2 linked regions of the Saccharomyces cerevisiae S288C genome follow. Each later gene encodes a partner of the first gene's protein in a complex. Each region holds a gene or a part of one and is shown on either strand. Other genes may lie near its edges. The genes, in order: MYO4 and SHE3. A codon is read from its position in the direction of its gene.

The links.
Region 2: the proteins of MYO4 (region 1) and SHE3 are in contact, whole or in part, in a crystal structure (PDB 4LL8), measured with the Saccharomyces cerevisiae proteins. Residues at the interface, in NP_009373.1 of Saccharomyces cerevisiae: Leu1043 (codon at 1,907), Ser1044 (codon at 1,904), Val1047 (codon at 1,895), Met1050 (codon at 1,886), Lys1051 (codon at 1,883), Leu1054 (codon at 1,874), Ala1055 (codon at 1,871), Ile1057 (codon at 1,865), Glu1058 (codon at 1,862), Ile1061 (codon at 1,853), Trp1325 (codon at 1,061), Tyr1329 (codon at 1,049), Arg1350 (codon at 986), Ile1354 (codon at 974), Gln1358 (codon at 962), Lys1361 (codon at 953), Ile1362 (codon at 950), Gln1364 (codon at 944), Leu1365 (codon at 941), Lys1366 (codon at 938), Leu1376 (codon at 908), Asp1378 (codon at 902), Phe1379 (codon at 899), Tyr1381 (codon at 893), Glu1402 (codon at 830); in NP_009688.3 of Saccharomyces cerevisiae: Glu149 (codon at 1,641), Gln152 (codon at 1,632), Asn153 (codon at 1,629), Val156 (codon at 1,620), Asn157 (codon at 1,617), Ser160 (codon at 1,608), Leu161 (codon at 1,605), Glu163 (codon at 1,599), Ser164 (codon at 1,596), Gln165 (codon at 1,593), Leu167 (codon at 1,587), Tyr168 (codon at 1,584), His171 (codon at 1,575), Tyr172 (codon at 1,572), Glu175 (codon at 1,563), Lys178 (codon at 1,554), Leu179 (codon at 1,551), Lys182 (codon at 1,542), Ile183 (codon at 1,539), Leu186 (codon at 1,530), Leu190 (codon at 1,518), Gln193 (codon at 1,509).

What each region holds. Positions count from the first base shown.
Region 1 is NC_001133.9:87,238-93,976, forward strand, and holds MYO4 (myosin 4), read right to left. Parts: upstream 5,034-6,739; coding exon 618-5,033; downstream 1-617. Other genes in the region: SNAP receptor SNC1, read left to right, coding at 49-150, 264-515; FRT2 (Frt2p), read left to right, coding at 5,663-6,739. UniProt on the Saccharomyces cerevisiae protein: Part of the mRNA localization machinery that restricts accumulation of certain proteins to the bud and in the daughter cell. Recruited to specific mRNAs including the ASH1 mRNA, coding for a repressor of the HO endonuclease, via its interaction with SHE3.
Region 2 is NC_001134.8:494,785-498,642, forward strand, and holds SHE3 (She3p), read right to left. Parts: upstream 2,086-3,858; coding exon 808-2,085; downstream 1-807. Other genes in the region: OPY1 (Opy1p), read right to left, coding at 1-555; CCZ1 (Ccz1p), read left to right, coding at 2,379-3,858. UniProt on the Saccharomyces cerevisiae protein: RNA-binding protein that binds specific mRNAs including the ASH1 mRNA, coding for a repressor of the HO endonuclease. Part of the mRNA localization machinery that restricts accumulation of certain proteins to the bud and in the daughter cell.

The sequences.
Region 1 (6,739 bases):
TTGAAAATTTGCGCCAAAGACATAGCAAGCGCAACGTATTCATTGTCCATGTCGTCATCTACTCCCTTTGACCCTTATGCTCTATCCGAGCACGATGAAGAACGACCCCAGAATGTACAGTCTAAGTCAAGGACTGCGGAACTACAAGCTGTAAGTACAGAAAGCCACAGAGTACCATCTAGGAAATTAACATTATACTAACTTTCTACATCGTTGATACTTATGCGTATACATTCATATACGTTCTTCGTGTTTATTTTTAGGAAATTGATGATACCGTGGGAATAATGAGAGATAACATAAATAAAGTAGCAGAAAGAGGTGAAAGATTAACGTCCATTGAAGATAAAGCCGATAACCTAGCGGTCTCAGCCCAAGGCTTTAAGAGGGGTGCCAATAGGGTCAGAAAAGCCATGTGGTACAAGGATCTAAAAATGAAGATGTGTCTGGCTTTAGTAATCATCATATTGCTTGTTGTAATCATCGTCCCCATTGCTGTTCACTTTAGTCGATAGAAGTTCACTCGCAATGCTATATATATAGGGAGCTTCCATATGTAGTGTAGGATATATGTATATATACATATATACATATATGGGCGTATATTTACTTTGTTCTTATTTTCTGTCTAATTTTATAATTTTACTGACAGTAGCTAAGCCCTCTGTATTGCTGTTCTGTGTTATTGCACTAGTGTCATAACGCAGATGGTTTTTAGCAGAGTCAAATTGGGCAGAAAGCATAATTTCCATCTTCCCTGGCAAAGACAGATTTTCTCTTTTGATCACGTTAGCTAAATAATTCAAGATTTCGTTCGGTACTCCAGCTTCGCCCTTGTTAGCAGGCTTGTATTTCAACAGAATTGCTTGTATTTGGGCTGGATTCAAGGCATACCAGAAATCGAATAGTAACTTGAACTCGTTCAAGTTGCTTATCTTCAACTGTAATATCTTGACAGCCTGAATTATTTGAATCAAATTGGGACGAACGTCTTCAATTCTTGGTTCAAACCAGCTCACCAACCGCTCGATATTTCTATCCACTTCGTACCCATACTTCCAATTTAACGCGGGACATTTGGTTATTAGGTCATTAAATAGCATTACGTTCAGATACTTCAGGGTGTCGTTAAAAATTTTTGTATGCATTGAGTCAACAACTTGAAATTTACACAAGACAGCATCAAATTCATTTAAGAATGTGAATAATTTAGCGAACTTCTCATCACCAGAATTTTTAAATAGCTTCTCGTTTAAAACCATATCGAAGATCTCGATGTGGGCTGAAGCATGCTTCATGAATTTCACTAACCAAGTGGAATAAATCTTGTCGAATACTTTTAAAGTTTCATTCTCCAAATCATTCAAATATATCAGTGTTAACTTATCTTTTTCATCACCACCATTCGCTTCATATAATGTTTTTTGATTTGCAGCAAATGCGGGAAGTCTGGAAAGATTACTTAACCAAAAGATACCACCAAGCATTGTTTCGTCCTTTGGTAGACTCATAACAATGCTTTCTACAGTCAATAGGACTTTCGAGATGAATTTGCTACTTTGAATCAATAACCCATTTCTCACTAAGCTACTTACCACTGTAGTAATGACGTGTATAGGACCCAGAACATTGTCTCCATTCACCTCAGTAACATTTACTTTTTTCAAGTAACCTTCTGTGACTTCTAATGTGTAACAATTCAGGTCCATTAGTAATTCTAGAAGATCAGGATTTCCTGATTCTCTACGAATTACATTGACTAGCTTCGGTTTTACTTGTTGTCCTGCGATTCCCAAACCTTTCACTTTATCATTCTTATTAGCAGAATATGTGGTGGTGAAATCTTGTGCTATTACGTTTTCAATAAACGCTAGTTCTTGCTTCATTGATTTGACTTCATCACTTAATCTTGAAGGTTTGTTACCTTTTATAGCAGCCAAACTTTGCATATGTGACTGTATTAAAGAAGATTGCTTCTTTTTTCTCTCCTTCAAGGCATTCTTCTTGTTTAAAGTATTCATGATTTCAACTTGTAACGTCTTCAGCTTGGAAATCTTATCATTATAACCATTTACTATCGTTTCGTACTCTTGCCTTTGCTTAGATGGAATATTTGACAAATCTCCCTGCAACAACTGTGTTAATCTTGTATATGAGTCATTTAACATCTCTAGATTCAAAATGAAAGAGTTCTTAAATTCGATAGCTTCCTCCAGTAATCCAATCCCGTAACTAGCCCTAATATTCCGTTCTTCAACTTCTTTTTGCAGAACTATATACCTTCGTCTAGCTAACTGCATTCTCATGGCGCTTTGTACAAGAATGGAGCTCCTTTTCAATGTTCTGTAATCTGTTTTGTGACCATATGATCTGATGTAGCTTTGGATAATTACTGCCGCCATGAGCATGAATTTCCTGTTAACACTATCTAAAATCAATTTTCTTTTACAGGTACATTGTAGTTTTATTATTTGCCCAATGGCAGCTCTATAGTATTCCCGTTTCCATAATGCTCTAATGTTCGTTTGTAGTAATATGGCAGCTCTTGTCTTGAGCTCATGATCGACCCTTGTACGAACCAACAAACTTCTAATTTGGCTTTGGCACTTCTTTATTGATTCCATGGTCTGCAAATACTGAAGCCTATAGTATCTTGCCCTTATCTTTTTCTGTATTATGATGCATATTTCATTCATTTTATTAGTCCTTAGCTTTTCCAAAAATGCAAGCATTCCTGCTTTAAAGAAAATTTTGGTATTACCAATTTGGTATTTTGCTGAATCAGAGATAGTAGCATCTAGAATAGATTGACAGAAGTTGACGATTGCCTCTTTTGGGAGGTCTGGATTATAAAGAATTCCACTCCATAAGCTGTAGTCCGTCAGGAGGAAATATCTTTGAACGAATTCGTCAAAAGTCCATCTTGATGGAAAGCCTGCACATGAAATCCTGATTGTTTCCAGCACACCACAAGCTCTTAATTGCGATAAGACCATCAAATTATCGAACTCCCATGGCTTTTTTTCAGAATTTGGTTTTATGCAACGAATATAATGAACATTAGTAGAATTTATGATGGCCATCAATTCCCCGAGCGATTTTTTGAACATAGATCCCAGGGTTGGTTTCTTTTGACTTAATCTTGCTGGGATCATTATCTTTTTTTCAGTATTTTGCTCTTCAGGAGCATCGTCACTCCTAAGTTCTCTGTTGTCTAAAATTTGTTTGAAAATTGGATTTGTCGTTGCTTTGAAAACATCCAGATGACCTAGGGAAACGCTGTCTCTATTCTTTTCAATAAACCCTTCAACTTCATATTCTACATCAACAGCATAATGGCTTACTATAAACTTCGTTTGTCCGAATCTTGGCTTCGAAAAAACTTCATTTGAGGGCGGTTTATTAAAGGCAGAATATAGTTTTGAGGCCCATGATTCATCTGAGCCTGATGGTAATCTACTTTCTTCATCTAATAGAGAAAGTATTCCAAGTTTATTCTCAATCAAGTCTATGCAAGGTTGGTTGTCGCTGAACTCAATGAAAGACCACTCAATTTCCTCCTTTACATATTCTTCTTGCTCCAATTTGAAAACGTGCTGGTTGAACTCTTGTTGTAATTTTTCATTCGCATAGTTTATACAGAATTGTTCGAATGAGTTTTTCTCAAAATGCTCAAACCCGTAGATATCTAAAATACCAATAAAGGAAAAGACATGATCTTGTTGATCCAGCTCAGGATCGTATAATGTCTTGTTAATGTTGTCTACTAGCCAATCAAAAAGCGTGGAATAAATAAATTTCGCCACAGAGTCCCTAGCAATTAGCGCTTGATTGTAATTCAAATTAGTGACAATTTTTTCAGACCTTGTGACGATTTGTTTCTTGACAATCCATTTTGCAAAATTGAAGGGATCAATACCCAATAATTCACATGCGATTTGCAGGTTTTGCTCTTCCGATGATAGTGATGCGTCGTTTCTAGTCATTTTCATCTCGATATTACCTATATGTAGCAAGCCTGCAAGAATTTTGAAAATTCCAAGCTGAGTCTCGTGGTTTATACCTACTAATGACAGGGCATCAGTGGTTATCTTGTATTCTCGAGCTTCATCTATACCAGCTATGTTCGGCTGTCCACCTTGGTTAGTATAATGGTAGTCCTTGGGAGATGACAAATGCAGTTCTTGTTTTACCGGTTCTGGCAATCCTTCCAAAATTTGGTAAAAAATATGGTAATTTCTTTCTGTCTCTGGCTGATAAACTAACCTGGATTTTTCCAAGAGATAGGTTCTAATTTTGGACCCCCTGATGGTAGTATTCTCATCAAATAAAATTTGCAGATATTTGCCGAAACGAGAGGAATTATCATTTCTGGTAGTTTTGGCGTTACCAAAGGCTTCCATGATCGGGTTAGTAGCTAAAATTTGGCTCTCGATTTGAGACATTTCCACTTCCCCTTCACGATTGTTGCTTTCTTGGACTGAGGCAAAGTATCTCATAATGTATTTAGCAGAGACGGTCTTACCAGCACCGGATTCACCACTGACTACAACAGTCTGGTTAGCCTTTTCATGGACCATGAACCTGTACGCCTCCTCTGCTATGGCAAAAAGGTGCGGCTCCAGCTCATCTTTACGCTTACTAGAATAATTCTGTATCATCTCGCGAGAGTACAAATGGTCGACTTTATCAAAGGGATTAGCGGCAATAAGGACAATACCAGAGTAAGTATATATCTGTCCATTCATGTATCTTTTTTTTATGGCATGCAGCACTGCCGGTTCGTTCAGATATGATAGGGTGGTTAAGTCATCAGTAGACTCTAAAATAGGTGGGTTTCGTAGTACAGGTAGCGTGGGATGATCATCATCATTTTCGAAGCTATTTGTTTCAATGGATACAGTTTCTCCATCCTCCAATTTCAACTCTAAGTGGAACGTTCCTTCAAAGAAGTCATTCTTGGTGACTTCGCCGCCTATCCAGCCTTGTTCTTTGTGAGGGTACCAACACTTAGTTCCTACTTCAAATGACATGCGGGAGAACTGGTTATAGGATTTTTTTTGTTTTTTTGTGTTTTAGAATTAGATTGAATTATAAAAAGAAGAACAAAAGGGTATCGTATTGAAAATAAATTGTCTCGCCAAACTGGTAACAATGTTTTCAGCTAGAACAATAAGAAAAGAAGAGAAGGTAAAAAAAAAGGTGATAACTCCGTAGGAATTGAGGAATTGAGTATGCAGAATCAGAATAAAGGCTGACTTTCAAAAAAAGGTTGTATTACAATTGCAGGTTTTCGATAAAAGAGACCCTATTCTCATCTACTACTGCTAAACTTCGAGATATTTTCGAATTTTTCAGTCTTTTCTTTTTTTTTTTTCGCATTAGTTCAGAACCCTAAAGAATGGTAAACATTCTATGGATAACCCGGAGAGTGAGTTTCTTAAAGACCTAGTTTTATTTTAAGGGTTTTAACTCAATCTTGATGTTTTCATTGTGTACCCTAAAGAAAGTTTAAGAATAGCCCTAACTGTTACCTTTTGAAATAAAATAAGGGGAAGGTCAAAAAGCTATTGTTCTATTGTTATGAAACATTGTCTCAAAGAGTAAGAATAACACAAATTGATGGCAGTTTTTTACGTAGTCCAGTAGTTGTCCAGGTACAATGCAAAATGCTCAAATAAAGAGCTCTTCTAAAGGCAGCGGAATAGATGGTACAGATCGCAATAGCAAAGATGGTGTAGAAAAGAGACCCCTGGAAGATGTAAAGCAAATGATTGACGCTGGAACACCAGATGTTGGCCACAAATCTACTGTTGAAACTAAGCCAAACGTTGGATGGCAAGCCTCTCACAGTAATTTGGCTGCATTACACGAAAAAGAGCAGAAATATGAAATGGAGCACCATCATGCTCGTCATAAACTGCATCGTCAAGTTATTCCGGATTACACGTCTGCCTCGACCGCAATGTTCAGCGATTGTATGTTCAACGCAGCACCAGATAAAGTACGAAGTCTCAGTACGATGAAGTCTTCTGGACTCTCGCCAAAACACCCATTTAACGTAGTCGCCACCTTTAAAGGACCATTCCCGCAGCATAGTGTAGAATCAAAGCCTCTCGATGGTGGATACTCTGCCAAAGACCATTTTCCCTCATTTAAGATGTTGCAAGCCCAGCAGCACCCAGCCCATCGCCATTACAAAGACAACGACAAGTACGGTCTTAAATCACCTTCCCGGTCCTTCGTGAAGGACAAGAAAAGGTTGGTTCACCGGTTTTTGAAATCCATGGAGCCTTCTTCGTCTGGGCAATCTAAGGATTCGTCTGCACTGGCGCCGGCTTTCGATCCAATATTGCCCAATGTTATATCTAAGCCTTCCAAGCGACCCACACATCATTCGCATTCATCAGACGGGAGTTCTAGCACGCAGACAGATATATCGTTACAGAGCTTGCTTTACCATGATCTTGAAAGCTCACCAAAGAAACATGTTTCGCCCTCAAGACCGCCCTCTGTAGCTTCCGAATCCTCTCCTGCCGTTGCTAATCCCATTGGGCTTTCGCCAAAAGACGCCTGCAATGCATCGTTTTCGCAGTCGTCCTCATCTTCGTTGTCTTCTTCTTCATCGTCTTCATCATCGACGTCATTCTCACAGTCAGTGGCTGTTGATCCTCTTGAACCTCCTGGAAATATCACATATAGTAGTTCGAATCTTTCGCTAAATTCAGATGAATTAGAC
Region 2 (3,858 bases), on another chromosome or scaffold:
GCTGCTAGAAGGACCCGCCTTTTCGTCAACTACAATTAAATCATCATCATCCTCTTCTTCATCATAATCACTACCTGTAGTGACACTTTCGTTGCCACTAGGACTAGAGAGGAATTTTTCAAGGGCAATTTTCCAATTATGCATCAGTTCCATACCAACCTTCTCATTTTGCCCTCGTGGAAATTTGAATATTAAATCCTTGGATGGAGTATAAACAGTTAATATACCATCGAGCTCGCTTATCTTAAAATTAAGTATGTCAAATCTCGGTATGACACTTATAGCCTCTCTTTCATCCCGAGTTTTGTAATAGGCAAATTGGTTTTTCCTCAAGACACACCAATATTGATGGTCTGTTGTCCGAGGCCACCATAAATGACGATGGTGATGATGGTGATGATGGTAACCCTGCGGTGCACCATCAGCAGCTCCATTGTTACCTGAACTGGATTGAGCTGTCGGCGTTTTATTTTGAGACGTTGATGGCTTCTTGATGAGATTCGATGCGATCAAAATTTCATGCTGACTTGACGGAGCAGTCGCACCTGCTATCATTGGTCTTATGAAATTTACCAAGGCAAAATTAGCGTAATTATTTATGGTTAATTCACCTACTGGCTACTATTGCGTACCACATTTTGGCCTGTTCGTTTAATTTCAGCCACATTATAGTAGAGAAAAAACCGTTGTGAGTGACCGAAAGTGAAAAATATGGATTCGTGTCTATAAAACCTTAGAGGCATCTATTTACTTTTGTTCTATTATCTAAATGAATCCTATATATATACTCCCTTGTGTCGGCATATTCTAGGATTGGGCCCCGTGAACAACCATACTATTTCCCTTTTTCTTATGAGTGGAGGAAACAGTTCTTGTAACACCGGGAGGCACTGAGATTGTGGGAGATGTACTTGGATCGTTATTATGCGTTACATTTGTTTTACTACTGCTCGAGCTTGGTTTTCTTACTGAGGCAGTTCTTTTAACACCAGGCAAAACCGGGGATGCAGATTTTGGAATAGAACCCGATGACAGCAAAGGCGACGCAGTATAGAAACTTCTTCTTTTATTGTTACTGCTATTACCATTGGAGGATGAATCGTTTGTGTTCGGCGTCTTTCTTAATTTGACCATCTTAATAGGAAGCATATCCTGTGCATTATTGCTACTCAAAGCGTCAGCGTTGTTGCTTTCCACCTGGGTTTGTACATTCTTCTTCAAGGTTTGTACTACCGCGCCTTTATTACTAATCTTCTCATCGTTTCTTTTCAAGACGTCTTTCAAATCCATCTTTTCAGCAAAAGTTGATATCAGATTTTCGTTCGTCTGGTACAGATTTAGCCAGCTTTGTAGATTTAACTCATCTAAAGAGTGAGTGATTATCTTGCTTAATTTTGAATCCTTTTCTGTTTCCAGAGATTTCAAATCTTTCACAGAGTCATTGAATTTATTTAAATTCAATTCTATATCTGAATTTGAACTAGTATCTGAACCATAATTTAAATTTTGATTACTTAACTCTAACTCCAACAAACCGATTTTTTCATTTAATTTGGAAATTTCATCAGAATAGTGGTCTCTGTAAAGATTTTGTGACTCCAATAATGAATTATAGTTAACTTCCATATTTTGCAATTTTTCAGAGCAAGATTGTTCAATGGCACTAGAATTTTTCGCCAATTTACTCAATTGATCCATTTTCTCCTTTTGTTCATTGTAACGGTTACTCAATTCGCTATAATCTTTCTCTAGCTCTTTTAGCTTCTTGTTCTTTCTTTCAAATATCGAGTTGAGATTTTCGTTCTCGTTCTTCAGCAGATTTAAATTTTCCAGTAGTTTTGATTCTTTGGATTGTGCTAATTCCAATTTACTCAATAAATTTTGAGATTGCGTAGTCAATTGTAGATTTGTTTTTGTCAGCATATCAATCTGGTCATGCAGTGATTCAATGACTCTCGAAGATGAGGCATTTTGGCTGGAGGTATTTCTATCTTTTGTGGGGGAACTTTCCAAGTTTGCCATAAAAATATTATGGTGAGGTGCCAACTTGCTTGAAGAAGTCTGGGTATTATCCTGGTCCGACATCTTACACAAAAGTAGTGTCGTTGAACCTTGGCGTGCTTGATAGACGAGCTAACGTTTGGTAACCCCTTCAGACTGCTGCTACTCATGGCAACAAATCAATAAACAAAATGCAATAGTAGTTAGTAATGAAGCTCTCGCCCGAACAAAAGACGAAACGAGCGGGTAACTATTTAGCCTATTTTATTGCGATGACAATAATATGTAGTAGCAATAGGGAAATAGTTTCATTTGACGTGGAACCAAAAATACATTCTAAATCGTACAACTATTAAATTGATATATGAAAGACGGATATGAGACTACACTATATTACGGTTTTTGATCCATCAAGATCTACCAACGAAAATGACACTTTCAAGCAGTTGCTGCTGTTCCATTATTTTGGCACTACTGATTCAATACCCTCTTTAAACGAAAAACTGTCCATCATAGGAGTAATACAGGGCATTTGGTCACTTACGAGTTCATGCGTAAACAAGGACGGCGAAGATTTAGAGAAAATTATTGAGCTGAACAATGATATTATTTTTTGTATTAAGGTGGAATCAAGATTTTTCATCAGTCTAGCAATTTCGAATATCAGCGACGATCAGAGTGCCATACCTTTACAGTATCTCAGTGCTTACTTATGGCTTAGTTACAGGTTCTTCAAGCTACTCAATGGGTCATTCAGCGGATTTAACAAGGACTTCCGCAAACTCACGGATTTGTTGAACGAATTCGTTATTCCGTTCTGGAATGATATTTATTTGAATCTAGAAACTGTAACGAATAGATCATTTACTGTAATGTGGCCTGGTTTTTATAAAAGGGCAAATTTTCAACATTCCTCTTATAATCCTGGAGAAAAAAATAATGTCGAAGAGTCATGGGACGCTATAATCTTGCAGAATATTCTTTTAGATAAAAAGAGTTATCTAGGACTAAAGGACATTTTGGTTTACCACCTACCAAAGCGCACCAAAGCGGCTAATAGGGAGTCTATGGGAACAAAAACTTATGGACTAGTAAGGAACTTTACCAGTGACCTGAACACATTACCAGATATCTCAAATTGGCTATATCATTTGCACTGCACCTATGGTGAAATATCAAGTCATATATTAACAGGAAATGTCCATTTTAAAGAGGAGCTACAAGTAGAAGAAGAACAAGAGCGAAGTCGTGATACAAACGGAAGAGACGAAGAGGAATCACAGGAGCAACAGCGACGGGAGCACCAAGAGACTACGCAAAACAATACAAGCGAACTCTCTCTATCGGAAAGAGTGATACACAACGTAACACTCCCCATTTCTTTTGCATACGACGCTATACATGAAGTGAGTACCACGACTGGTGTTTCGGGTAGCTTATCCATGATAATGGACTATGTACCGAAGCCCCATTGGCCGTTCATTTCATCCTCTAACAAAAGTGCCGACAAAAATAATTACTCAAATAGCAATGATAACGCAAATTCGAATGCCCCACTGATGGCGCAATCAGAGGCTGTTGGAGGGACGATAGGCAACTCGAGATTTGGTTTCCTAATTTCCCCATTGAATTCAGACCTGTTGCCATCATCATACCAAGCCCTGAAACTGAATTTGAACTTTGAAAACTCCAAAGACAAGGAGGATTTTTATAATTGCCTATTTTGGTACTTTGATGATTTTTTAATTGTAATTGTCTGTGATCCGGACTTCAACAAGATTTGTGAAAGAGACTATCTAAAGGACTTGAGCTTCCAATTGTGTCAGAGTATGGAATGCCTAAACAATGAGATTTTAA